Mytilus edulis: one gene and its partners. The protein of the gene in region 4 purifies or fractionates together with the protein of the main gene of each other region. This does not show direct contact. Links are inferred from orthologs where the notes say so. Each region holds a gene or a part of one and is shown on either strand. Other genes may lie near its edges. The genes, in order: beta-arrestin-1-like, cAMP-dependent protein kinase catalytic subunit 1, ubiquitin carboxyl-terminal hydrolase 8-like and protein smoothened-like.

Region 1 (7,378 bases), on a different chromosome or scaffold from region 4:
TTGTGAGAGATTATCAATAGGTGGTCATTTAACTACCTGTAGATTTTACCTGGTTGTTTTTTGCCCTAAATTTTTTTTTCAGGTAGTTAAATGACCACCTATTGATAATCTCTCACAAAACCTATTGTACAGTTTAAATGGACAAATTGTGTTGACAATTTTTTATCCAGGTAACACTGTAGGTATTATAATACCCCAAAGGTGATCGGTTAGGCACAGTAATAAGACTAAATTAAGGAAGATCTCATGTTACATGAGTACATATACATATTTTTAAAATATGCATATCTTTCTCCAACATTTGTATACAACAACAACAGATTTTTATGCATTTCAAAATGTATGATAGAAATGGTATTACAGTATATTGGTAGAATTTATTAGTGCATCTTTTGAAGCTAAACGATGAAACATTTGAATTCTCTTGGTGTCTCACTAGGAAATGGAATCAATTTTCCGCCATTTACTGTACTTGAGGAAACACCATCAGAGTTATCTAATAAAGGTAATGACAAGTTGTGTGAGTATAATCAAGAGTGAAAGTTGTCTATTACTTCACTGATTATTGATGATACAGACAAATCTATAGATGTCTTCTCAACAACAGATGTACATTTAAGATCAGGAACAAAATTGTTGAACATTTGTACATCCTTATGCTTTAAAAATTCTTACAACCTCATGAGAGTGGTTACACATTTAACCCAAACTATATTTAAAAGTACATACATATTAATAAAAATATTAGAATGAATTGTTTCATGTTCGTATTTGATTTTGTTTCTTCGGAAAAAGGGTAAATACCGTAGTCTATTAACTGTACAACAGATCTAGACTTATATCCTTTTGTTGAAACCTTGAGGATACATTCGCACATTGGTGTTTACATGAAAAGCATGTCAGGAAGGTAGTTATTGTAACAATCTAAAAATATCAACAATATACGCAGGTGATTAAAATTCATTATTCAATTAAAGTAAAACATTAAATCTTTGACATGTGCTAAATGGCAAAGAACTGCTATTTCTAAGACAAATTGGGATAAGCATTACTACAAGACTTAAGCTAATAATACTGCCTGGCTATTAGATCCCATTACCATCATGTAGCATGTGTCATCTTACTGAGCTGCCATTGACCTTATAGAAAGGGTAAATAAACTTATCAGAAACCTTATCAGAAACCAATGGACAAGTGGAAACCCAACTTGGATCAAACAATTAATTAAAAATGGTTAAATAGGGAAAATGATATAGTTTTTTTATGAACTAAATCATTTCTTTGTAATTGTTTACAGCTGTGTAATTACTTGTTACAAATTGTGCATTTGCTGACAACAGTGGCAGATCCAGGGGGATGGTTCTGGGGTCCTTTTTTTGGACTATCAATGCATTTAAATGGGAACATATAGTTGGACCCCCCCATGGACCATTATTAAATATCTGTGTCATATATATATATATAGATGAACATATTAGCCACCACAACCATAGGTTTATATTTTAGGTTTGTTTGTAGTGTTGAACAAACAGAACTGTCTATAGCCAGATCTACAAATAAAAATTCATATCTTTATTGAATTATTTGGACAAAGATACAATTTACTGTATACTGAAAACCAAAGTCAAATCTTAGATATTAAATAAAGTTGACAATCATTTCAAGCTTGATTATTCCACACAATAATTATAATAGTCTTGCAGATACAAGCTGTGATGGTTTGTACTTTAATAGAAAGTCAAGATAACCAGTGTTGAAATAAAAAAAAAATAAGTAGACATCTATCCACCAGAGACCAAATGATGTAGATAGTAGCATGGTACAGTGTGGATAGTTATTAGATTTAAACTTCAGACAAATTTTTAAACACTTCCCTTATATAATTACAGACATTAGAGAGGTAGTGACAGAGATAGACGTACCTTCTTAATTTATAGCTCTTTCTCTATTGAAAATATATACTTATACTTTGAAATTGCTCAATATTTAATTAAGTCTAATCAATTTTAAAATACAATTACATTTTTTCATTTTGTTAGTAATGTTTTTTTTTAATTTGAATGGATACTACTCTGTAGAATGCCTAAGATAAACTTGATTACCCCAGGCTTATGGACTAGTAGCAGTTACATGTAGCACATATTGATTGCTAGTACATGTAGCTGTACACAAATTGACAAATAATAATTACTAGTAGCTGTCAACACATTAGGATAACTAGTAGCTGTCAACACATTAGGATAACTAGTAGCTGTCAACACATTAGGATAACTAGTAGCTGTCAACACATTAGGATAACTAGTAGCTGTCAACTAATAAAGATTACTATTAGCTATTAACAAAATCATGTTTGTTCAGTAGAAGTCACCACAAGAATTATTAGTAGCTGTCAACTCATAATGATTACTAGTAGCTGTCATCACATTAGGATTACTAGTAGCTGTCAACTCATCAGGATAACTAGTAGCTGTCAACACATCAGGGTTATGAGTAGCTGTCAACATATCAGGATTACTGGTAGCTGTCAACACACTAGTATTACTAGCAGCTGTCAACACATCAGGATTACTAGTAGATGTCAACACATCAGGATTACTAGTAGCTGTCAACTCATCAGAATTACTAGTAGCAGTCAATTCATTCAGATTGCTAGTAGCTGTCAACAAATCAGGATTACTGGTAGCTGTCAACTCATTAGAATTTCTAGTAGCTGTCAACTCATCAGGATTTCTGGTAGTTGTCAAATCATCAGGATTACTAGTAGCTGTCAACTCATCAGGATTACTAGTAGCTGTCAATGCATCAGTATTACTAGTAGCTGTCAACACACCAGAATTACTAGTAGCTGTCAACTCATCAGAATTACTAGTAGCCGTCAATACACCAGGATTACAAGTAGCTGGCAATACACCAGGATTACTAGTAGCAGTCAATTCATACGGATTACTAGTAGCTATCAACACACCAGGATTACTAGTAGCTGTCAACTCATCAGGGTTACTAGTAGCTGTCAACTTATCAGGATGACTAGTAGCTGTCAACTTATTAGGACTACTAGTAGCTGTCAACACACCAGGATTACTAGTAGCAGTCAATTCATACAGATTACTAGTAGCTATCAACACACAAGGATTACTAGTAGCTGTCAACTCATCAGGGTTACTAGAAGCTGTCAACTTATCAGGATTACTAGTAGCTGTCAACTTATAAGAACTACTAGTAGCTCTCAACTTATAAGAACTACTAGTAGCTGTCAACACACCAGGATTACTAGTAGCAGTCAATTCAAACGCATTACGAGTAGCTGTCAACACTACAGGATTACTAGTAGCTGTCAACACATCAGGATTACTGGTAGCTGTCAACACATAGGGATTACTAGAACCTGTCAACACAGCAGGATTACTAGTAGCTGTCAACACATCAGGATTACTAGTAGCTGTCAACTCATCAGGGTTACTAGTAGCTGTCAACTTATCAGGATTACTAGTAGCTGTCAACTTATTAGGACTACTAGTAGCTGTCAACACACCAGGATTACTAGTAGCAATCAATTCAAACGGATTACGAGTAGCTGTCAACACTACAGGATTACTAGTAGCTGTCAACACAGCATGATTACTAGTAGCTGTCAACACATCAGGATTACTAGTAGCTGTCAACACATCAGGAATACTTGTTAGTAGGAGCTGTCAACACATCAGGAATACTTGTTAGTAGGAGCTGTCAAGACATCAGGATTACTAGTAGCTGTCAACACATAAGGATTACTAGTAGCAGTCAATTCATACAGATTACTAGTAGCTATCAACACACAAGGATTACTAGTAGCTGTCAACTTATAAGAACTACTAGTAGCTGTCAACACACCAGGATTACTACAATCATCACTTAAGAATTACTACTATGTCTTATATCATTCCCAACAATTTGGTATTTGTTTCATGGTCTGTGCCATCATCACTTTTTTCTGAGAGCCGTTTTTTTTTGCATTCACAAGAGTTTGGTTGGCTGCACAATAGTTAATATAAGTAACTAATAAAGTCAACACATACATGTATATATAAAAAAAATCATATTATTATTCAATTCCTACACATTAATTTGTTAAGTTAAGTCCCAACAAACATGGATGAAAAGTCATGAAATATTTGACACTGGACACTACATAAGCAGACAACACAAATCAATAAACCAACAAACAAAATTATGTTGACATTTTCCATTGATTTCATGATAAATTATGAACTATGAAAATCAAATAAGTTGTGAAAAATTAATGAAATAGGAATGTCACAAGTCAAAATATGCTGGATATTCATTTGCATTAATGCAGCATCTGTACTTCTATGTACATGTATGAGATATTGTCAGTTTGTCAAAATGGTGTATAATTCATTAAGTGAGATAGATACTGAAATTATAATGGAACAAAGTATGAGGTAGGTTACTATTGAGGCATGTATCATGTTGTAATGTTCTCTGATTTATATTCTAATTGGTTTTAGACCATATATGGCATCAGGGATCTCAATGGCCTGTTTAATGATGGCGCCCCACCATCGTTCAAATGTCTTGCGCCATCGTCATATGACTTGCGCCATTGTCAAATGACTTACGCCATCGTCAAATGACTTGCGCCATCGTTAAATTGTCTTCCGCCATCGTTCAAAACTTCATCGTTTTGTTGTAGCTGGAAATCAGCCATACCGGTAATGGGTTCTGAATTTGACAGTGTCCATGAAAAATAAGCTCCACATCATATGATTTTTAACCCCCATAACAATTACCAAAAATACAAGAAATCTACATGGGTACCTTCATGACAGCTTTTGGTCATTTTCGACTAAGGGAGGACCATGAAGACTTGGCATTTGAATGGTTAAAAACGGCAATAAATGAAAATATTGATGCTTCTAATTCTATAATGAAAATTCAAATAAATATAATTTAAATAAGCAATGAATTAGCATGTTCACCATTCCTTGTATGGAGGGATAAAATACTTCCGATCGCGCTACACTGTACAGCGTAGACACAGTTTGTAATGGTGAAAGTTCCTCCATCGTTCAATTTTCATCCATGGAGATCCCTGGGCATACAAAACAAAATCAAACTATACTTTTTTACTTGGTGTATAGGGATGCAGTTTCAGTTTCAGCAAATTATAGTCGCTTTGACCTTCATCCAATGCTTTTTAAAATGCCTTAATTAGAAATAAACAACCTAGCTCTTGCCTCTTGAGTTCACATCAAGAAGCATGTAAGTGTGTGTGATAACATGTGCTTAATGATTGACTTCAAACACTAGTAGGTTTCTCTGATATTTTACTCCTTTAGACCCTGTGGATTCATTATTATTCAGTGGATACAAAATTTTGTGGATTTTGTGGATTTAGGTGAAACAAGAAATTAAATAATCAACGAATGACAAATTTTATAATGGCGTGTATGAAGACTTTGCCAAAACCACAAAATTAGATATACATGAACATGGAAGTTTTCCTTCATCCACGAAAAATTAGTACCCTGAAAATAAATGAACTTTTGATTCAATATAGTTAATTTACAAGTATTTTATTCCTGCACTGTGAAGTAGTCCAGCAACTCTTAAAATATTTCTTTAAGACAAGTGTTTAAAGGATTCTTTTCTGTATACTTGGGTTATAGTTTTAATTGATGAAGGTAACACTGTCACCGTAACAGATCTCTGAATTTTAGCTTACCTGACCATAAGGCCAAGTGAGCTTTTCTCATCTATTGGCGTCCATCGTCTCTTATTTTCAGCCATACACCATTAACTTTTACAAAAATCTTCTTCTTTAAAATTATTGGACCAAAAATCAAAACTTGGCCACAATCATCATTATGGGGATCTAGCTTACAAAATGGGTCCAATGACCCCATTTGCAAATCAAAATGGCCAACATGGCTATATAATAGAACAAAGGGGTGAAATGCAAGTTTTGTCAATTATTTTGGAAACTGTTATAAATAGATAAAATCTGACAAGGGCAGAAATGGTGTGAGTTTTCATCGTCGATCAACTCCTTATTAGAGTTTGTAGAGTTATTGCCCTTTGATGACAACTGTTACTTTTTTGGGTTTTTTTGCCTTATATCAGTACATGTAAACTTTAAAATTACAATGATCAACAAGGCAAGTTCTACAATGAAGTCAATTTCTAATAATATAGCTAATAGACAGTCACTCTTTATAGAAGTGATAGACAAAACAAACAAAAAAGGTGAGCAACACATGCTCTTTCAAGAGCCTCTAGTTTGATTGAATTGAAAATTTTGTAGCATACAAGTCCATTCTGTTATTGTGAAATAGTTCAGACTAATTCATAGTCTTATTTCACTTCCTCCCAGACCATCATAAGTCCATCCTGTAATAAAGACATAGTTCAGCCTGTTCTTTGACTTATTGCACCTTCTCTCTGACCCTTATAAGCTCATCCTGTGTTTTGACATAGTTCAGACTAATTCATTGTCTTATTGCACCTCCACAGTCTGTCATAAGCTCATCCTGTTATCAAGACATAGTTCTGACTGTTCTTTGACTTATTAGGCCTTCTTCCATACCACCAAGGGTAATGTAACTCAGCCTTGACATATAGATCTTGGTAAAATCATGATAACCAGATTTCTCAAGAGTCAGTATTGTATATTCAGCAGATATAAATCATGATACTCAAAAGTTCATTCTGACTTCTGATCAATAAATATACAGAAAGGATTTTCACTTGAAGTTATTGATTTTGTACTTAAAAGTTACAATGATTCCAGTACAGAATCACTCATGTGTGTAAAAACATAAGGATTAGAGGAAGTCTTTTGTTTTTTCAAATTTTGAATTATAAACAAAGCAGTGTTGATGTAACCGAAGCATATATTTGTCTTTTTACATATTTGGTATTAGGCTTTCATCGCAAGGGAATGGACTTGTCTTGACCACAAAATAAAAAGTCCATTCATATTTTAATTCGTTGCCAAGTATTACTGCACGAGATTTTGAATTTCATGGTACTACACATACAATCTCAGTCAATGATTATTGACAATCAGTGCGACCAGAATCCCTAAGATGTATATCAAATGATATGTTAAAATTCAGAAAGCTTCTTAAACAAAACCAAGTTGAATTTGACTCTTTTAACCCTGTGATTAAGGCAACATCATTTCTTTTTTTTTCTTCATATATATATGACGCCCGTCAAGCAAAAACCACCCTTATCGCATTTGACGTCGTTATCGGTAGTCAACGCTAAAATGTAACGTAGAACAAACCGATAAATTGCACGTTGAAATTGAAATATTTTTTCTAAACATCATAGCGTTATCCATGCGAACTGAATAGTATATTCTTATATTACA
Region 2 (7,361 bases), on a different chromosome or scaffold from region 4:
TACTAAGTTACTTTCATAAGAAATGTCGATAGAGATAAAATCATGGTCACCGTGGCTTACGCAAAGGACATTGCAACCGAAAACTGCAAATAAGTAAAATCAGCTTGTTGATGGTCGCCATGATCTGAAAGCAGCCGAACACAACCCATACGATTTTCAGCAAGGGACACGCGTTGTGACATATACTTTTTACGAGTATTCAACATCCACTATTTATATATACGGTCACTAGAATATCAAAAGTTATATATGAAGAAGAAGAAACAAAAATTCACAATGACAATCCTTTCATAAAGTTCTTTTACTGATAGGTATCAGTATTATTGCACAGTATAAAATGACAAAGCAGCTATTCGCACTTTATTTGTTGATAAGGAAATCCTGCCATTTTATACTCCGATATCAGTGGTAGTACTTACAAATATCTATACTGCTTAACAACGCCGACCTTGTGTGCACTTTTAATGGTAAATATGTGTACAAAGTTCAAGTATGAAAAAGAATTTAACATTGTAGTATGAATAAATTGAATTGACGTAAAAATATTTCGTCTGAGACCTAACCCAACAAAAGTTCTTCCTTCAACAGGAACCAATCATCTGCAAGCACTGTTTTCAACTACCTGCATTGCTCAGTTAACTGCATGCGCCATATAAGATATAAACATGTTGTTTTTATAAAAATTTTGACGAGACGTAGTATGGTATACAAATGTCCGGCGTCCGTCCGTCTGTCTGCCCGTCTGTTCGTCTGTCTGTCCGGCGTCCACATGTCGCACCGTAACTTGAGAACTACTTATCCAAATTTCATGAAACTTGAAATAGTTGTTTCTTATGATGGTCAAACGATCTGTATACTTTTTGGTGGAAAATAAGATTTAAACTTTTTGATTTACGAGACTATATAACTGAAACGGGGTGGGGGTTACACGTCATGTCGCGCCGTATCTAAAAAACGATTTATGATTGTTGCTTAAAACTTTACACACTTCTTAGTTATATTAATCTAAAGATCTGTATACTTTTTGGTGATGATTCCAATTTTGTTTTAGATTTTATTGAGTTTTTTGTAAAAAAAAAAGGGGGGTGACATGTCGCGCTGTATCTCAAAAAACGAGTTATGATTATTGCACAAAACTTTACACACTTCTTAGTTATATTGATCTAAAGATCTGTATATTTTTTGTGATTTTTCAATTTTTTATTTTAGAGTTATTGAGTTTTTTTGTAAAAAAAAGGGGGGTTTTCACATGTTGCACCGTATCTCAAAAACTATTTATGATTATTGCACAAAACGTCACCACCTCCCCCCCCCTATTTTATCCTTGGTTGGACACCTCTTTTAGAATTGGCTGGATCCACCCAACTACACTTGATTTATGGATGCTTAATTGTGTATAATGACTACTTGGCAGATCAACCAATACAGATGGATGTTGCGTGGAATCACTACCTTGAATATTTATATTGTATACGTCTCAATACGGGACAACTTTTCGACAGGTATTCTCTATTGGATAACCACCACTAAAAATTGAGACCAACAATGTTAGGTCTGCAACTTTACGGTATCATACTGCTACTGAACCTATTGTGGTATTAATAGCTACACAGGACTAGAACCATCAGAAATCAATTATATACATGTTTTTACTTCTGAAATTAAGCCCAACAATGTAACGCCCCGGCCGTTCACACAGTAAAAATTTACACGTGCACATAAACACGTGTGTAAAGTTGCCTGAGTATGTAAATGTAAGTATACAATGCGTTCACACAGGGACTTTCTATCCCTGGTTCACATAAATGTATTTGTTCCAATAATAAGTGTTTTCACAAATTGAACTTGTTCATTGAGTCAATTGATATCTAAATGTGATGTTCAAAATCGGCACGTTCATCCTCTTTATATAGAGCTGCAGATGTATATCTATTTATATATACAACTCGTCTAAACATCAACCCAACAATGTTAGATCTGTAAATTTGTTTTCGCAAATTATTTGTTCTTCCCTCGCCGGGACTCAAACCCATGCTACTGAGATATCGTGACACCAAATCGCCTGCACTGTAGCCGTCCCGCTAGACCACACGACCACTTGGGCTTCATAAAAATGAAGCTTTCGGTGGCCGGGTGTTACCTTTCCACGTCAGTTTTAATCTAGCGTCGTACTACAGTACATGATACGTATCTATTTATATATATATATAACTAGCATTTGGATGAACCTATATATATAGGGTAATCCAAATGCTAGTCCAGGGTTTTACATAACGGACCCACGGAAACAACGGTTAGGAGTGGAAATATGTTTTAAGCATTTATGTACCTTCTCTGTATCGCACAAACAGATTTTCACATTAGAGCGCTTTCATCAAATCACAAATTATTTTCAAATATTTTCGATATATTTGGTAAATCAAAATATGCATTCGTAATTATATAATGAGCCCGGAACTCGGCATGGGGTCTACAGGCGATATATAGTTTTCAAGAGTGGACCTTAGGTACCTAAATATTTCAACATTTTGATTTTTTCTCTTCTACTGGAAGGAAAAATCACCTTTATCGTTTGATTCTTCCTACGAATAAATTGGTGCATTACCTCCGTGTCTTGGTTTTTTTTTTACAATTTCCTCCAGTTAGTCATGTATAAGGCCAAAGACCACGAGTTGATAAAAATATGAAAAAACAGAGAAAACCAACGACTTGATTAATGATAAAAAACAACACAGAAACATACAAAAAATAAGGCAACCAGCAACCAACGACAACCACTGGATTACAGTATCCCGTGAAATTGTATATAGCCACACACGAACAAGTCGGAATGTCGCGGGGTTAATCATGTTTGTGAATTCTCAGCCCTCCCATAACCTCCAGGACAGTGGTGTACCAGTACTGTACATAATAGAACACATTGTAAAAATAAGTCGAAAAGGGACTAGACTCGACGGATTGGTACATTCCATCGTTTTTTACCATTAAATGTTATAAAATTCATTATTATCCAGGCAAACCTATTGGATTTATAGAGAAACTACTTTGTGGATTAATCATTTAGTTTGATACTTTGGATAATTTGAAATAACAACTTCATATCTCGTGTGCCTCATAAGAAGTTGTCTTTAATTTACTAACTTTTAATGTATTGTCCTTTTTGTTATGCTGCAGTGGAGGGGTTACTAAGTGTTATTCTTGTCCGTCTCAGTGTGCGTCCGTCCGTACACGATCGAGTACGTATGTACCAAAATAAAGTTTCGTTCTTTAACTTTAGTAAGTCTCAACTCAGATCAAGTTCAAACTAGGGTGGTGTCACTTTTACCGTTCGTGAGTTATGTTCTTTTATTACGTTCGTATATGAAAGCGGGAGATTCACTCATCTGTGTTCCATGGACACATTCTCCATTTTTTTATTGTTGCTGAGGGCATATCTGGGTATCCTCTATAAAGTTTTATCAGAACGTACTTTAGTAAGTCTCAATCAAATGTTAGGAAATATTACCACAAAACTCAGATCAAGTTCAAACTAGGGTGGTGTCACTTTTACCGTTCGTGAGTTATGTCCTTTTATTACGTTCGTATATGCAAGCGGGAGATTCACTCATCTGTGTCCCATGGACACATTCTCCATTTTTTTATTGTTGCTGATGGCATATCTGGGTATCCTCTATAAAGTTTTATCAGAACTTTTCCAAAATGTGATAAACAGCAAGCCATATGAAGACACTTGTCTGTTGTCATGATAATGTTGAAGGTGATATCTTGAACTTTACCATGTTTTTTTGTGTGTCGCTGACTTTCTGTTTCAAAACAAAGCCTCGGACAGGCAGCTTTCAACTATTCAGTACAGGAGTTGCTTAGCCTCATGAAAACTTAGGCCTATTTTTTTTTTAAACAACTAAAACTCAAAATACACTTGATACATGAATATTGCAAAACAAAATCTATATCTGACGGGGTTAAGAATTGTAATATGAAGAAGATAGAAAGTCTAAGATAAGATAAAAATTTTATTAATCTAATCAAGAACCCATAAAGGGCATCATTTTGCAACACAATATTATTGAAAAAAACGAAACAGAAAACTAATACCATACTATAACGTTATGGACAGGATCAGAGCCTAACACAACATGTGTTTTATATAACTATTGTAATAAATCTTATAACAATAAAATATTATATTATTTCATTTATTTTATGTATATGGTTTGTTATATAATATAAACACAGATTTAGTTTTATTGAAAATGAAGGACACGCGTAGATATTAAATTCATTTCGAATAAATCCTTTGTGCTTTGCAGTAGACAAGTATAGTATGATACCTTTACATGTGCCTCTTATGTGCTTTGTTATCAATTTGTCATTTACCTGAGAAAAAAAAACTTAAATATTAAATTTCGACATATGTTGTTCATAGGTAACGATAAAATGATGATATATTCGTCTACACACAAACTTTACAAGTGATTTTCTCGTCTAAAATTAGAAATAATGACTAAATCAGAAATACGGTGAATGAAACAACTGTCCCAAAACACGCCATGCGTAGTTTTTCAAATCCCGGCGACACTCATGCGTAAACTTTTGAAAATTAGGCCACTTTGAATGGTAAACAAAATATCTTAAACTTAAATTACACATCGTGGTTCGCATCTTATTACTAAAAGACCATCTTAAGGCAGGCAGGACAAACGTCTTGGAATGGAAGGGTGAATAATTTGACTTGTTAGCTGTCAATCACACTGGAAATATACATTTATTTCTGTAGTACGCAGTAATTTATCATTATATATAGTGCGGTTAAAACATTATGTGTGAATTCTACCATGTGTACACTAAATTTGGAAACAAATAATGGGAAAATAGGCTAAAAATATTTAAATGTACTTTGTATGAATGGATTGAAATGCACTCGCATGGATCAGATTTCGTGTGTACACAACAATGAGACTTTAAGGATATTTTAAGGAGTTTCAGTGTGTGACAAATTCTACGGTAATCTGATATTTTGAATAAAAATGGATTTCTTCTTTGACTTGTTTGACTCTGAAAAGAAAAGAAAAGCACAGCTTCAACAACAACAACAAAATCAGGAACAAATTCGGAATAGAACTGGGAGTGGAGGAGAACTACCCCCTCTCAGGAGAGACAGGGGTTACAGAACTTTTAGTTTAAGAAAGTATGATCAGCGTGAAACCAATAGAATTCGTGATGAACGTTTGAAAAGAGAACTTCATCGACTCTACTTGTGGGACAGTAAGTTCAAAACTCTATACTACATAAATACAGCTTAAAATTAGGTTAGTTCATGCGCTTCTTTTTCTCTTTACTACACATATTATAATCAGTTTGTACTTTCAAACTGCACACATCTGGTTGTTAGATATCATCAAGATACACGTGAAAAAGATAAACACAGAGCTCTTTTCGTTATGCAGTAAAAACAGTTGAAAAACTTTGTCAACATTGAAAATATGTATATTTAATTCAGAATTTATTCTACAAACGTATTGTACATGTTGTAATGATATACAATCATATAGATCAGTATTCATACGAATGAGGGGTTTCGGGGTTGAAGGAAATTTCTTAAAATATATAAATAAAATTTATCTTCAAAAAGGTCAAAACATTTTCTACTTTTAATGATAAGATTAATTATCACATGGTTGTAATCCTCAAAATATATTCTGATGTAAAGCTACCTGCATGGTCGAAATATAGTCACTAACTCATTATTATGCTTAGCATCTTCAGATAATGCTGTCATTTGTAATACTGCCCTACGGCGGTGTACATAATATATATCCATTCATTTGTCATCCTTCTGTGGTCCCATCATTGCGACTCATTAGGATAGATTTCATTGTTAAATTCTAATTTTAGCTCACCTTGTCCACAGGTGAAATAAATAGGTTTTGCCATTAAGTTTTGGTTACACAGAAACAGAAAACTGAAAAACAAAGTACTCATTTTGAAAGAACATCTCCTCTAAAATACGTTTTTTTCCTCAACATATTGGAAATTATTTGCCTATGTCCGATAGCAAACAATTTTTTTTAATTTTTAGGACAAGAACAAATTATTAATAACCTAGTATAAAAGTTAGGTTCTTCAGAAAAGGTCCATAGAAATGAATAACGATACATTTGGACTGCTACTATTCAAGAAAGTGGAATGGAAAGTACAAAAGTATTGCCACCATTGGCCACAGCTAACCTTCATGACTGTCAAATAGTTGTTTCAAAGGGCCCAGTAACCATGGTAACACATACACGTGGCGCTTTAAAGCCCCAGTAATACACACACGTGGCGCTTCAAATGTTCATTGACTCGCACTTGGCGCTCCAATGGTCAATTAACGAATACACGAGGCGCTCCAAATATCCAGTAATTAATGCACACACATGGCACTCAAAAAGTTCAGTAACACGCACGTGTCACTCCAAGTGTCCAGTAGCACAAAAATGGCGATCAAAAGGTACAGTAACACTGATTCGTACGTTGCGCTCCAAAGGTCCAGTAACTCGTACATGTGGCGCTATAAAGTTCCAGTAACACACATACGTTAAGCTCTACAGACTTAGTAACATATGTATACGCACACACTCCAAAGTTACAGTACCACATCCGTGGGGTTTTAAATGTCCAGTAAAATATACACGTGGCGCTCTTAAGGTCCAGTTACATACACACATACACACGTGGCGCTACACTGTGAAGGTTCAGGAACACACACGTTGCGCTCTAAAGGTCCAATAACATTTTTGAGGGGACATCTGACCTCTACTTCATGGACCATTGATCCATATTCATTATTAAGTGGACTTCCCAGTTCTGTTGAGTAATAAGTCAGCTAAATTTATGGAATCAGTGTCAGTAGTCTGTCTGAAACTTGACCTTGATCATATATTAAGTGTTCTTTGATCAAGTTAGCTGTTTGTACTGAGGTCAGTTTCTCAGTTACTATAACTGAAATCTTAAGTATACGGTCGATCTTATATAACTGGCCTTGACCTAATTTTCATGGTTCATTTAAAAAAAAGGAAAGAGTTTGTGTTTAGGTTTACGTACCAGTTTATAAGAAACAGGCTCTTTGCTCGTTGTAGAAGGCCGCACGCTGACCTATAGTTGTTTATTTCTGTGTCATTTTGGTCTCTTGTAAAGTGTTGTCTCATTGGCAATTATACCACATCTTCTCTTTTATATCCACTCATATTTGGTCTTTAGAAGCCTTGATTAGGCAATATGACTCGTTTGGCTTTGATCTAATTTCTGGGGTTCATCGATCAGTGTAACGTGTTCGTCTCAAGGTCAGTTTTTAAGAAAGTGCTTGTGAAAAGTCAACTGTT
Region 3 (7,548 bases), on a different chromosome or scaffold from region 4:
CTCATAAATCTAAAACAAACTGACAACTCCATGGCTAAAAATGAAAAAGACAAACAGAAAAACAATAGTACACACGACACAACATAGAAAACTAAAGAATAAACAACACGAACCCCACCATTGGCCATAAAATAAGATGTGGTATAATTTTCAATGAGACAACTCTCCACCAGAATTTGTCTTTCCCATTTCTCAGTAATAACAGAGTATTAATTTTTTATATATATTTTGGGTTGTCTCTCTAACCTGACACTGTAGCAAACATCATTAAGGTTTTCCCTTTCTTTGACATTTTAATCATTTCTTCTGGTTTACTTGGGTCTAACTTTGACATATCTATTTTGGGTGGTTCTCGTTTCCATTCAGGAAGTTCATCTTCTTCTAACTCGTCCTCATCATTGTCCTGAAAGGTAACCATGGTAACCATTAAAATTAAAATGAACTAAGTATGTGAAGACGTTAAAAATAATCTTAATATGTTTAAGGCCACACTTTCACCTGTAACATGTATAATGGTTTACTTATTCAAATTGTGACTTGGCTGGAGAGTTGTCTCATTGGCACTCATACATTTGTACAACATGTTCAGATATACCACATAAAAAAAAAGATATTTCTACATGTTCTAATTTATCCTCACCTGCATAATGATGATCAAGAAGACACTAAATTAACTTTAGTAGTGCAGGAATACAGCCGATCTCCTTTATCTGGTAAATGATGTCATAAAGGCGCTAAGTGACAAACTTTTCTAATGAAGCCAAAGGACATTACTCAAAAGTGGTCTATTGAATTATAATAGTATTTTGCTAATAACTTTCTATATCAATGAAGAACTTTTTCTGCTCACAAAGAATAAAATAAACTGGCATTTTCAATTTTTAAAGGTGTGAAGTTCTTTTTACTATCTGTCTCACAAATTCAAATATCTACATTCTTAATCAAAAAGACCATAAAGAGCATATAAATCAACACAAACAACACATGCAATCTAACTGATTGCTGAAAACTAAATATGATTTAAAACAAATATGGAAACATGGTCATGACAGTAGAAAAAAAAATCCAAAAAAAATCCAAAATTTCCCAAAATTTTCATTGTACTAATGAACTCAAAATCGTTAACTTTTTTTTGTCACTTTTTTTAATTCCTGTATTTACGCAGAAATTGAAATTCTTCCTTTTTCCGGTCTCATTTTCATGAGACTTCGAGTAAAGTATATATCTATTAGTCTAGTAAAATGTAGGATTGGAAGGAACCGACCCACATCTTCCAATCATATACCTACATGACCTAATCAATACCAATTTCATTTTTAATATGAATAAAACTTTACCTGATGATATCGTTTCTTTGTTTACATTGAGTATGACGTCATAACTTAAATAATGTCACAACTAAAATCCCTAACAGCACAACCACAATCGGAATGGTATTTCCGTTTCTTTTTTTTAACAGATTTTGAAGTTTAAAAATGTTTGAATTGGGAGAAAAAAAAATAATACAGACTTCGTCCCCTCTCACAGGTAATGCCTGCCTCTTATTTAAAAATGTATGTACATGATAGTAGAGAGCCAGTACAAAGAGGAATAACTATTTATCAATTGTATCTACTTTTAGTCTCTTTTTTTCTTATCTGATCTGGAAATTTTTATTCTCAGATCTGCAGTGACATCACAACATGTAACTGACCAATCAATGATTAGCATTTTTGTTATGTAAACAATGTTGATAGGTGATGCGGATAAGATTCCTCTAGATTTTCCATAGACTTATTGCAAATTAATTTAATTGATATATATCATAACCAGTTGAATATAGTAATTTTACTCTTTTAATACTGTTAAAGGCACTATATACTACCTCCATTTTGATTTTTAACATACTATAACCTCTGGTTAAAAAATAATCGGCAATATAAATAATCAGTTATCCCCTTCAAATAGATGAAAAATCTAGAGGATTCCGGATTTCATCACCTCCAGACAAATGTAAATGCCAGGATGTCCGGATCTGAGAATTTAGGTATATAAATCTGTATTAAAAACTAAATCTTCATTTGTCATTATCCAGATAAAGAGATTTTCTAAATTTATGATTCTCAGATTTAGAAACTTTTGAAATAAAAAAAAACTCTGTCTAATTAAGAAATAATTCATGGAAGCCATAGATTATTGGAAATTTACACATGGCCTGGGCCGTGATATTCGAATTTTATCCTGAGCGTTAGCGAGATTTTTCATCTATTTGAAGGGGATAACTGATTATTTATATTGCCGATTATTTTTTAACCAGAGGTTATAGTATGTTAAAAATCAACGTATCAGAAAACTTTCAACTGTAGCGTTTTCATTTGTATGACGTCATGTTTTGAAATGACTTAAATGCGCCAAAAACATTTAGGAAAAATTAATTCTTTTAGTAATAATGTCCCAATTAAAAGAAAATTTGAAATTTGGAAAGAGGAGAAAAATCCAGAAAAATATATATCACCACTAGGAAAAATGTACCAACAAACTGAAGATATGAAAGATACAGAATTGGTTGATATAGACAAGATAGAACCGCAGTATGAATACCAAGGTCTAGTATCAGTCATTAGAGCCCCTGACTACTGGCGTAACATAGGCAGCTCAAAATCCAGAACAACAGCCCAAATAGAGGAAGGAAAACAAATCATCTCGGAACAACTCCAATCTCAAACACCAAACACAGCAGTTGCTTTTACAGATGGGTCATGTTTAGGAAATCCAGGCCCCTGCGGTGCAGGAGCTATAATTTACATTAATGATAAAGAAGAAAAATTAAAAAGACCTGTCTCTAACAAAGGATCAATCTTGCTAGCTGAACTTATAGCAATAAAAATGGTTCTGGATTACATAGAATCTTTTTCAAAAGAGCAAATTAATACTTTAACTTTATTTTCGGACAGTCAGACAGCATTAGGTATCTTAACTCTCAATTGGAAAAGTGACAGCTATCATCAAACCATTAACGAAATCAAAGGGAAAATAAAAAATTTAAACGAACATGGATTTTTAATAAACTTAAACTGGACACCAGGACATGCCAACATAAAAGGAAATGACGAGGCAGACTCCTTGGCAAAAGAAGCTGCTAAAGAAGCAGAAACACTAGCCGTTGATGATATAGTGTTTACAAAACAAGATGTAAAAAAAGCAGCCAGAAATTCTGTTACAAAAAAATGGCAACGCAGATGGGAAAATAGTGATACTGGACGTCACTATTTCAGATTTCATCCTGAAGTTAAAGATAAAGTTAAAAAAGACTTCCCGTCAAAAAAAATGTACAACATAATCAACAGTTTACGAACAGGTTATTCTAAATTAAATGCATACCAATTTATAATAAACCAGCACATCGACACGAAAACCTGTCATCACTGCAAACAAAAAGAAAATGTACAACACTACCTTTTTGAATGTGACCTGTATTCAGATGCCAGAGACAAATTATTTCATCAAATATACTTCATAACAGGACAAATTCCAACAGATCTAGACAATTTATTAACAATCAATTTGCCAAATGCAGAAAATATCAATCAACTATTAGCGGAGTACATAGAGGAAACAAACCGTTTTAGTGGATAATTTGATACAAATTTCTTTAAATTTTTTATATTTTTAATTTTTCATGCCATTTCAATAACCTAATAAACCATTTTTTAAATTTATTTCACTTCATACAATAATTCTATAATATTTTTAAAGCGCCACCTACAATATATAAGTTCAAAGGAGAAACTACAATTGTGATAATTATTTTACAAGAGAGGATAATTTACAAGAGAGATTACTCTGTCATCACGACAAAGATTGAAGATTGAAGACATTAATAGACTTTCGCGGAATTTTATTTTATTTTTATTTTGTTGGTTTCTCCGAGTTCTTGTGCATTGCTTCTTTTTATTATGCATCCGAATAAGAATAAAAGTGATTTTGTCTTTTTTTAATTGCAATTTTTAAAACAATAAAATCGGCAAAGGGTTTTCAAATAGGTTTCAATACATGTGGATTTACGTGGGAAGTATATTGTAACAGCCATTTTTATGTACACCACGGAGTCTGCGCTAAGTATAGATATATCGAGAATTTTATCACAGTGTTGTTTACAAAGCGAAAGAAGCACATCATATTAGAATGGGAAGTAAATTATAACACGTCACCTCCCACTGATCAAACAGTCGTTCTAAATCAGCTTCACTGTAATCACGAATGTTTTTCTTCTTCCATTTCTCGTCTTTACCATTTTTTGTTTCTTTTTCGTCTGCTTTATTACAAATTGAAAGCAGAATTAAATTGAAAACTATGAAAATAATAATGTAAAACTGAAAGTTTCCTCCTTTCTCCACCATATTGAAATGATTATTACAAAATACAAATTTAAAAAAACGAATAAAATTGAAAGGAAAGATTTTATTTATGTTTTGTTCCAAATAGATAACATCTCATAAAAATATTATTTTAGTCTTTGAAAATTGATATCACTATCATGAATGTATAAAGCATATATATTTTTGTTTAGTTTCGTTTTGTCTAAGAATTTGTACATTGCATTATGGGATATGTTGTGACTGGAAGTGAAATATTCCTGAAAATGGTCTAGGAATACCTTAATTCTAAAGAACTCTTATATAACATCTAGTTGCTTGTTTTGTGGTAAATGTTTTTCCATAAGATTTCTTTCTAGATTTTTAAAATGTTTACTACTGACACTTTTCTCCAAATGTATTGGTGGTTGTGCCTGTTTGGTTGTACATTTGTAATTAACTCATGCAACTCTCACTTTCAGTCTTATGTACTTGTCTATATCCTGGAGAAGAAAGATACAGACTTATTAAGGAGTACAATAATAGAAGACCAGTACCATTCAAATGGATCAGCACATGTTCCAATAAGAGCGAAAACTAATATCTCGATAGCGTCTGATAAGATCAAAGGAAAAAAGTCAAAACAAAAACCATACTCAAATGGGAAGAAACCAATATAGGGTCTTATCAAGAAGCTATAGAAACACTACAGGAACATGGTAACACCACTGACTCTAAAGTAGACATAGAAGAACAGGCATTTACCATCATCAATATTCTATCCAACGCCAGCAATACAAATGTCAAGAAAAAAATAGTCTCTTTAAAAGGACCAAATTGGAAAGCCTCTGAGAAGGTTAAAGAGCTCATATCAAAAAGTAAGAATGCATTTTATAGCTGGAAACAAAATGGAAGACCCAAAGAGCAGGATAATATAGCATACACAGAAATGAAAAAATGCAAAAGAGAAGTAAGAAAACAAGTCCGCCAGGAAGATCATCTGGATAGCCAAAGATTTTACAATAACATGATGAATAATCCTGACTCAAAAACTTTCCACCGATTAATTAGGAAAAACAGGGCACAATCTGACAACTCAACAACACTAATAATAAAGGATACAAATGGAGATGATATTGTAGAACAAGAAAAGCAAACTGAAATCTTTGCAGAATTCTACGAAACTTTAGCAACTCCAGCTACAGAAGAACATTTCGACTCAGAATATATGGAAGAATGTGAATTTAGATACAATCTAATCAACTCAATTGTACATCAATCTGCCATCAATAGAAATGACATTACCAAATTTACTGAAGAAGAGATAAAAAAAGCCATCAATGAACTGAATACAGGGAAAACAGAGGATGGCTACTCCTTAACAGCAGAGCACTTTAAATATGCCGGTAATACAATATTACCAGATATTGCTAATCTCTTTAACAATATCATGCTGACAGGGACAATACCCGAGATATTTAAAACTGGCATCCTTACTCCTGTTCATAAAAAGAAAAAAGATCCAACCTTAACAACAAACTACAGAGGAATTACAGTCACCTCTGTCTTGGGGAAAATTTTTGAATATGCATTATTAGAAAAAATGCCTGACTTGAATGCTAATCAGACGGAACTCCAATTTGGCTTTACAACAGGTCTCTCACCAATCATGGCAGCTCTTGTTGTTTCTGAAGGCATACTTCATGCAAAACAACAAAACAAAAACCTATTTCTAGCAACCCTTGACAGTCAAAAGGCCTTTGATGTAGTACATCATATGATCCTGCTAGAAAAATTATACTATGAAGTTCCAGCAGATGTTTGGAAAGTAATTCAAAATCTGTACTCAAATATGTCAACGGAAGTAAAATGGAATAATCACTTCAGTAAAAAATTTCCAATAAAACAGGGAGTCAGACAGGGAGGTGTATTATCCACTCATTTTTACAAATCTTATATCAATGAATTACCAAAAGAACTAGAAAAAAGAGCCTTAGGACTATCAATAGGACTAGAATACTGTGGCAGCCCATTATGTGCAGATGATATTGTGCTGATGTCAACAGATGAAACAGAGATTCAAGCAATGCTTGATATAGCATATAAATATTCATGTGAACACAGGTACAATATCCATCCTCAAAAAAGCACTCTGATAAAGACAGAAAGAACGAAGTCAAAATATCAACCAGAAATAATCAGATTAGGAAATGAAGCAATACAAACTGATAACTAAGCAACACATTTAGGAATCATAAGAGCATCTAAAAACGAATCAAGAATAAATATACAAGAACATATAAGTATTGCAAGAAAGACTCTGTATTCTCTAATTCCAGTGGGACTAAATGGTAAACGAGGTCTTAACCCCAAAACATCTTACAAGATCTACCAAGCTTACGTACTTCCAAGACTGCTATACGGACTTGAAATACTGCCTCTGAATTTGACACAAATAGGAGAATTAAGGCAATTCCACATCAAAACTATCAGATGTTTCCAATCCCTTCCAATAAGAACTTCAACAGCTGCTGTATATATGCTTATTGGCGCAATACCAATTGAAGCTGAACTTCACAAGAGGCAACTTAGCCTGCTATATTCTATCCTAGCAAGTGAAAACACCAAACTAAGGAATCTAATGGAAAGACAACTGATTGTTAACTCAGAAAATCCAGATAGTTTCTTTCCAAGGGTCCAAGAAATCCTACAGTACTACAGCTTAACTCCAATTCACGAGCTAAAAGAAAAACTTCCAACAAAATTTCAATGGAAAAAACAAATTAATATAGCCATAGCCGATAAATGGACAAGTAAGCTACAAACCGATATGAAGGAAAAATCCACTTTGAAATTCTGCAATACAACAGATCTCAAAATTCACCAGACTCACCCAGTATGGAACTCTCTACCATCAGTAACATATGAGGTAAAAAAGGCACAAATCAAAGCCAGATTACTGACTGGTACATATCTTTTAGAATGTGACATACAGAAATTCAAAAGGGAACAAGAAAAAGCACACTGTACTCTGTGTCAGCTTGAAACAGAAACATTAGAACACTTCCTACTCAAGTGCCCAGCTCTGCACGAAAAAAGGCAAAACATTTTCCCGGACTTGAAGAAAATCATTATACAGTCTGTTGGAGATAACAAATGGAATGATACTTTCATAGGGAACCAGTCCTTAATAATTCAAATAATTATCGACTGC
Region 4 (7,504 bases):
ACCTTAAGTCCCCTTCGACTTCATCAGCAGGAGACTAATAAATAATTAGCTTTCTCTGTTAAAAGAGTCTTCATGGGAGATAATTCATCAAAATTCACTCAAAGGTTAATTCCTTTAAAATAACAGAATTATCCATTACAAAAATCAACAGCTTTGGAACTATAAACTACTACAATAAATAGGTCCTTCTCTGATATTTCTGAGTAATTGACATTTACTTACCTTCTCCTACTCATAATTCTTGCACTGATTGTCTCCCCTTTTTTGTTTGGAATGGCCACTGTTTTGAAGCGCTGATTAAATTCTGGCTTACTTCTGGATAAAGTACCTTTTCCAAAAAATCCCTAAAAGTAAAGATGCAAATCCTTTGAACAAAACTTGTAGAAAAATTTAAGAATACAAGGGAGATAATTGTCAATTGAAAAAGAATGTATACGAGACATTTTAAAACAAGAATGTGTCCAAAGTACACGGATGCCCCACTCGCACTATCATTTTCCATGTTCAATGGACCATGAAATTGGATAAAAAAATATAATCAGGCATTAAAATTAGAAAGATAATATCATAGGGAACATGTGTACTAAGTTTCAAGTTGATTGGACTTCAACTTCATCAAAAACTACCTTGACCAAAAACTTTAACCTGAAACATGCACTTTCATTTTCTATGTTCAGTGGACCGTGAAATTGGGGTCAAAAGTTTAATTTGGCTTTAAAATTAGAAAGATCATATCATAAGGAACATGTGTACTAAGTTTCAAGTTGATTGGACTCCCAACTTCATCAAAAACTACCTTGACCAAAAACTTTAACCTGAAACATGCACTTTCATTTTCTATGTTCAGTTGACCGTGAAATTGGGGTCAAAAGTTTAATTTGGCTTTAAAATTAGAAAGATCATATCATAAGGAATATGTGTACTAAGTTTCAAGTTGATTGGACTTCAACTTCATCAAAAACTATCTTGACCAAAAACTTAAACCTGAAACATGCACTTTCATTTTCTATGTTCAATGGACCGTGAAATTGGGGTCAAAAGTTTAATTTGGCTTTAAAATTAGAAAGACCATATCATAAGAAACATGTGTACTAAGTTTCAAGTTGATTGGACTTCAACTTCATCAAAAACTACCTTGACCAAAAACTTTAACCTGAAACATAACTACCTTGACCAAAAACTTGAACCTGAAACATGCACTTTCATTTTCTATGTTCAGTGGACCGTGAAATTGGGGTCAAAAGTTTAATTTGGCTTTAAAATTAGAAAGATCATATCATAAGGAACATGTGTACTAAGTTTCAAGTTGACTGGACTTCAACTTCATCAAAAACTACCTTGACCAAAAACTTTAACCTGAAACATAACTACCTTGACCAAAAACTTGAACCTGAAACATGCACTTTCATTTTCTATGTTCAGTGGACCGTGAAATTGGGGTCAAAAGTTTAATTTGGCTTTAAAATTAGAAAGATCATATCATAAGGAACATGTGTACTAAGTTTCAAGTTGATTGGACTTCAACTTCATCAAAAACTACCTTGACCAAAAACTTTAACCTGAAGCGGGACAGACGGACGAACGAACAGACGGACGAACGAACGGACGGACGAACGGACGCACAGACCAGAAAACATAATGCCCCTCTACTATCGTAGGTGGATCGTAGGTGGGGCATAAAAATACATTAATTATGCAATAAATCAATTAGTAACCAAATTAGGTAGAGAGTGTTTTAATCTTTGAAGATTATGAAAAGTTCTTCAAAGCCAAATTTAAGATATTTAAATTATTTTAGTTGTCCGACTGTTTACAGTATTAAAACAGTTTGTGAGTCAGTTGGTCAAGTTAACAAGGAACATCTATAAATTCCTTTGAATAGTTAACCTTAATTACTTGGGGAAAAAAAAAAAAAATAGTGAAGCTGATTTTTAAGGTATGCTGTATAACAACTTTATGCCATAAACAATTATTATTAATACAAGTGTTATATGTAAATGTACATGTATATAAATTTTACATAAATAAGGCCATTAGTTTTCTCGTTTGAATTGTTTTACATTGTCTTATCGGGGCCTTTTATAACTGACTATGCAGTATGGGCTTTGCTCATTGTTGAAGGCCGTACGGAGACCTATAGTTGTTAATGTCTGTGTCATTTTGGTCTTTTGTGGATAGCTGTCTCATTGGCAATCATACCACATCTTCTTTTTTATATGTACATTGTTTTTGTACTTATAAATAGTTTTCTCATTTATTTGTATTGATACACATTTTTCATATCGAAACCCTTGAGCAGCCATCATTTGGGTAATGGGTATGGGTTTTTTTCTCTGTTGATGTCTGTACAGTGGCCAATTAATAGAGAATAATACATGGCAAAATCCGTATCATATGTTGTATCATCCCGAGACACCAATATCAGCCCAAGGGAAAAATATTTCTTAAGTTTACATTATAAAAAGTGACTTCATGTAAAAAAAAAAAGTAGGGGTGTGATAAAGGGTAAAGGTGTGATAAAGGGTATGCGATAAAGGGTAGGGGTGTGATAAAGGGTATGCCATAAAGGTTGCAAATCAAAGTTGCGCGATATGGATTAAACAGCAAGCTATTTATCAAATATTCAAAACTACTGTATTTACTACTAAACCTATGATAAAAGTATATCTACTTCAAATACACTCAGGTGGATAGTTGTCATATTGGCAACCATACCACATCTCCTTATTTGAATATAAAGGTCCTTCAAGGACCTTTCATGGAACAAATCTTGCACAATATATAAATGCAACTTGAACACACAATAAGTGTAAAACTTTTACTTAGGATCTCACCATTTTGTACAGTCTGTCAATATCTCCACTATGTTTGATTTCTATGTGGTTATCATGGAGATAGCCTGTGTAGTAGAACCATGTGTTCTCATACTGTTCTGTTGCTATGGGAACTGGAAATGGTGACTCTTTGGCTGCATGTACTCTTTTCTTCTTTTTTGGATTAACCAGCTTGGAGAATGCCATACCAACAAATAGAAACTTTTTTTTACCTGAATAGAAAGCAATAGTTACTATGCTTGGAAAATTATTGTTTGTCTTTTTATCATGTGGTATGATTGCCAATGAGACAACTCTCCACAAGAGACCAAAATGACACAGAAATTAACAACTATAGGTCACTGTATGGCCTTCAACAATGAGCAAAGCCCATATCCCATGGATGTCAGCTATAAAAGGCCCCAAAATGACAATGTAAAACAATTCAAACAATTCAAACTAACAGCCTTATTAAACATGTTAGCTGGATCCCAACCTTCTCCTTACCCAGAACAGTGGTGTAACAGTACAACATAAGAACAAACTATAAAATCAGTTGAAAAGGCTTAACTTACCATTTAGATACAAATAGAAATACATATTACAAAAACAAAGTCAACATAGTCTAATTGGTACTTCAACTACTTGTACATCCGAATAACAAAAGATACTATATAAAGTACACCTGACGTGTTTAGGTGGTAAACTCATGAAGAGCATGTCATCATGTAACATTGTAGATTTTCTTTTAATTTTTTTCTGTACTTGGCTTTTCTTCTCTTTTTTTTAACAGGTCAGGAATAACCACCAATTGGTGGATTATACCTCAATTGACGTATAATCCACCAATTGACATATAATGGTATAGACCAATTGGTGTATAATTCTTTGTTTTTCAAAACAAATTATTCCACCCAAATGGAGCATTGTTTTCTTAAAACCATTTTATGGTATGAAAACTTGTCAAACATTCCTAGTTTAGTATAGTGACATAACATATTGCATCTAATCGATAATTGTATTTGAAGTTTCTTCTATTGTTATCTTGTCAATTCCTGATTGGCAAATTTACCTGTAATCACCTGTCAATGGACATCATTACTGTCTGCAGTCATGTGATCATGTGTACAACTCCACAGGTGAATGGTGCTCTTTGTTAATAGTTGACCTTCATTATCAAAAGTCAATCATGGTCAATAGTACAAATGTTTCAACAAAAGAATTGTTGTACACATGCATTCTCAAGAGATGCAGCAGGCTTTGACAAAACTGAAATTTCGGAGGACTCAATAAGGGTTATGAAATAGGTTGCAAGTTGCAAAATCATGCTCCTATCTCACACTAGCATTTAATTACAAAAAAAACTTGCATTATACATCAATTGGTCTATACCAATATACCTCAATTGGTGGATTATACGTCAATTGAGGTATAATCCACCAATTGGTGTTTATTCCTGACCTGTTTAATATGTACATAGCCCTTCCCCCTTTTATTATTAAACACTATTTGTTTGTTAAATGTATCAAAAATCATAATTATATTGAAAAGTTTGTCTCTATTACTTAATTAATCTCCTTGTTTTGATTTAGAACGCTTTCTTTAGCCATATGTTTATCAAACCAATATTTCTCATTGCACATGTAGAGGTTAATATTGAGAACGGATGTCAGCATTGTCACGTGATCAATGGATTAATTTAGGTCAGGTAAGAACACAGGTTGTTGGCTACTTATCAACATTTTATTGACTTATTTACATAGTCAAAGTGTTTAACAGATTATCGATTACAATCAATATTATCTTATGTTAGTAAATGGCGGGTAGTTTGATTTGAAAGCGAGTACAAAGTAGAGAAACTGACCAAAAATGTATGGTTGACCTCACCTTGGTCTTTGTTGATTTTCACACAACTTCAAAAATCTAGAAGCTATGACTACTATTGTGTATTGCTTGATGCAAATATCAGTTGAAAAGAGACATTTAAAAACACAAAAGAAACTGACATTTCTTTATATTAATAGGGTGTTATCACATGTCATGCATGTGAAGTTATTCAATTAAAAAAATTAAAAAATAGAAAATAAGGGTATACTCTTCTTAGTCTCTATGTATAGTCTACTGTATCACTAGTCTGTCAATATTGAGGTTGTGAGTTTGGCTCTAAAACAGGGTTAGTAATTTTACCTACGAATGTTCATAATACAATGACTCTCTGCACCCTGGTTTTCTCCAAGGATAAAAACTGACCCCATGAAATAGCACAATATAGTTATATTAACAGTCAAGGGTCTAACTTAAATAAGTTATTAGAGAAAAATAACATACATGTTGTTATTGTGAGCTAAAATATCAAAAAACTGTGATAACATATGTATGTTACATGTTTCAAAGGGGAAATATACAACGTTAACCTTTCTTTTGTTAAATTTTTCTCCAGCTCTATTGATATTATAATTTTCTTTAAGTATACTAACCTTTGCAAAGATATAACAGCTCATAGTTTAGAAATCATGCATAGTACACCTATGTTATTACAGAAAATATATTCCTGCAATAACCAAAGGGTGTTATTACAGCTTCTCTATCATGTCTATATCTCTTTACAGTCTTGCATAACAATGTATTTCAATTTATTGTAAGAAATGATGATAGAGCTTGTAATGAGGCACTGTGCAAGATTCCAAGTGTCTCATTTACTCTCATATACAATGTTGTAAGTTTTATGCTTGTAATAACTAAGCCTTGTTATTACAGTTTAGTTTTCCCTTAAAAGCCTTGTCTCATTGATTTACCATGGTTGATCAAAATTGTATTAATGGAATTAAAAATTAGTTATCAAGGAAATATATTAAACTACTGCGCAAAGTTTAAAGAATTCCCAAGTGCCCATTAAAGATAAAATATTTATGATATATTTAACTGATAACAAACATAATTATGTTATTACAGATTAAGGAAAAAAGAGTAGACAACTCATGAAAGTGTCTGTAATAACACATGCATGTTATTTTTCTCTGATAACTTATTTAAGTTAGACCCTTGACTGGTTAATGACTAATTATAAACTTCTTTTTTTTTGCTATTAATCCTCGCTGCAGAGCACAGCAGTATGGATTTCCACTGCAGAGCACAGCAGTATGGATTTCCACTGTAGAGCACAGCAGTATGGATTTCCACTGCAGAGCACAGCAGTATGGATTTCCGCTGCAGAGCACAGCAGTATGGATTTACACTGCAGATCAATAGTATAAATGTAGATGTATGGACATCAAAACAAAAGAATAAAATAGCATTTCAAGGCATCATATTTATTTGGACTAAGCGTAATAGCACTTAAAGTGGTGTTAAACATCAATCAATAAATATGATTAATAAATATATATACCAAAGGTTGATAATTAGATTTGACATAATTTTAATTTTGCTGTGTGGCCCTCTTACGATGTCGTAATATTATTATTGCCCTCTTACGATGTCATAATATTATTATTTTTAGAAATTAATAGAAATTTTGTTCTTAATTTTGCAATGTAATAATCATCAGTGAATGATTACAGAAAAATTGGAATATTTAAAAATTCTATACCTACATGTATTGTGTTCTTGTATTTTTAGAAATATCCAAAAGTAGTGATAAAATAAGTTAGGGTTCCATTAGTGAGGACAATAACCATGATAACCTACTTCTTTTTTCAAATGGTTTCACTTAGGGATATTCTAAACTAAATTTACAAACCAAACTCTTAAAAAACATTTGAACCCAAATTTCCAGGATCTTCGATTTTATATTACAAAAAAATATATCTGAGAATTGAGATTTGTCAAAGTTTATGGAGTTCAGTGTATATCTAGATTTTTTTGTAGGAAACTAATAGTCAGTCAGGGGTACTACTTGTACAAGTAATCTGTATTTACTTGAAGAAGTAGAAATAAATAATAATTTATAAACTGATATAAGTTAATTATAATGTTTGAATTATCTCCCCTTAATTTTCTCAAAAATTTACTTGTGTAAGTTTTGAGGTGTAAGAACATGCGTTAAACAATTTTTCTCAAGTTAGGTCATAATTTTTTTATAAGAGTTCAATGTTTCATTTCATTAATTCATAATAAATATTCCAATGGTAAGTCTGGCTCCCCTTAGTCTTGTTAGTGAAGAATGATCACAAGCTGTCCTTTGGATTCATACATGTAATTTGTTTTCTTGTTATTTTGGTAATTGTGTAGGACTTAAAAATTGGTTGAATATTTTTTTCACTGTCAAAGACAGAAGTCGTGAACAGCAATGAACAGGTATCAATGATTTGCAGCATCAGCTTATTAATGTATGTGTGTTTTCATTTCTAATTTAGTCAGTTTGAAGACTTGAAATTCTCAGTTATCATGGTTATATCTCTATTCTTTATAACAATTGAAACAATTTGAATTGATGTCCTGATGACAATTTTTTTTAAGTGCTCAAAAGGTCATAACGTAGAGGCATCCAGTATTTGGCAATTAGTCAATAAGTAATTATATCTATTTAAGTGTCATATTTAAAGGTCAAAGTTTAAAGAGAATTTCATTCATAAAATCTGTCATATTTTGCATTATAGACATGATAGTTGATTAAAGCCTGTTTTTGGATGAACGACTTGTCAATTTTTTGGCCTCTTTGAATATTTTTTACGTTTTTGAAATTTGATATT

Evidence for each region.
Region 1: the proteins of protein smoothened-like (region 4) and beta-arrestin-1-like purify together in Drosophila melanogaster (affinity purification with western blotting, with the first as the bait; 4 studies listed by BioGRID). This does not show direct contact. The link is inferred for Mytilus edulis from reciprocal best matches to the Drosophila melanogaster genes smo and krz.
Region 2: the proteins of protein smoothened-like (region 4) and cAMP-dependent protein kinase catalytic subunit 1 purify together in Drosophila melanogaster (affinity purification with western blotting; 4 studies listed by BioGRID). This does not show direct contact. The link is inferred for Mytilus edulis from reciprocal best matches to the Drosophila melanogaster genes smo and Pka-C1.
Region 3: the proteins of protein smoothened-like (region 4) and ubiquitin carboxyl-terminal hydrolase 8-like purify together in Drosophila melanogaster (affinity purification with western blotting, with the first as the bait; 4 studies listed by BioGRID). This does not show direct contact. The link is inferred for Mytilus edulis from reciprocal best matches to the Drosophila melanogaster genes smo and Usp8.

The regions. Positions count from the first base shown.
Region 1 is NC_092346.1:87,676,422-87,683,799, reverse strand, and holds the start of beta-arrestin-1-like, read left to right. Parts: upstream 1-4,368; 5' UTR 4,369-4,383; coding exon 4,384-4,442; intron 4,443-7,378. Other genes in the region: serine-rich adhesin for platelets-like, read right to left, coding at 2,355-3,689, 3,871-3,888.
Region 2 is NC_092344.1:92,210,983-92,218,343, reverse strand, and holds the start of cAMP-dependent protein kinase catalytic subunit 1, read left to right. Parts: upstream 1-4,357; 5' UTR 4,358-5,027; coding exon 5,028-5,265; intron 5,266-7,361. UniProt on the Drosophila melanogaster protein: Serine/threonine-protein kinase involved in memory formation. Promotes long-term memory by phosphorylating meng and by regulating CrebB protein stability and activity.
Region 3 is NC_092354.1:81,313,062-81,320,609, reverse strand, and holds the start of ubiquitin carboxyl-terminal hydrolase 8-like, read left to right. Parts: upstream 1-4,547; 5' UTR 4,548-4,683; intron 4,684-7,548. Other genes in the region: LDLR chaperone boca-like, read right to left, coding at 247-403, 4,191-4,379.
Region 4 is NC_092355.1:3,468,928-3,476,431, forward strand, and holds the start of protein smoothened-like, read left to right. Parts: upstream 1-4,476; 5' UTR 4,477-4,521; intron 4,522-7,504. Other genes in the region: tRNA-splicing endonuclease subunit Sen2-like, read right to left, coding at 223-344, 2,835-3,020. UniProt on the Drosophila melanogaster protein: Segment polarity protein required for correct patterning of every segment. G protein-coupled receptor which associates with the patched protein (ptc) to transduce the hedgehog (hh) signal through the activation of an inhibitory G-protein.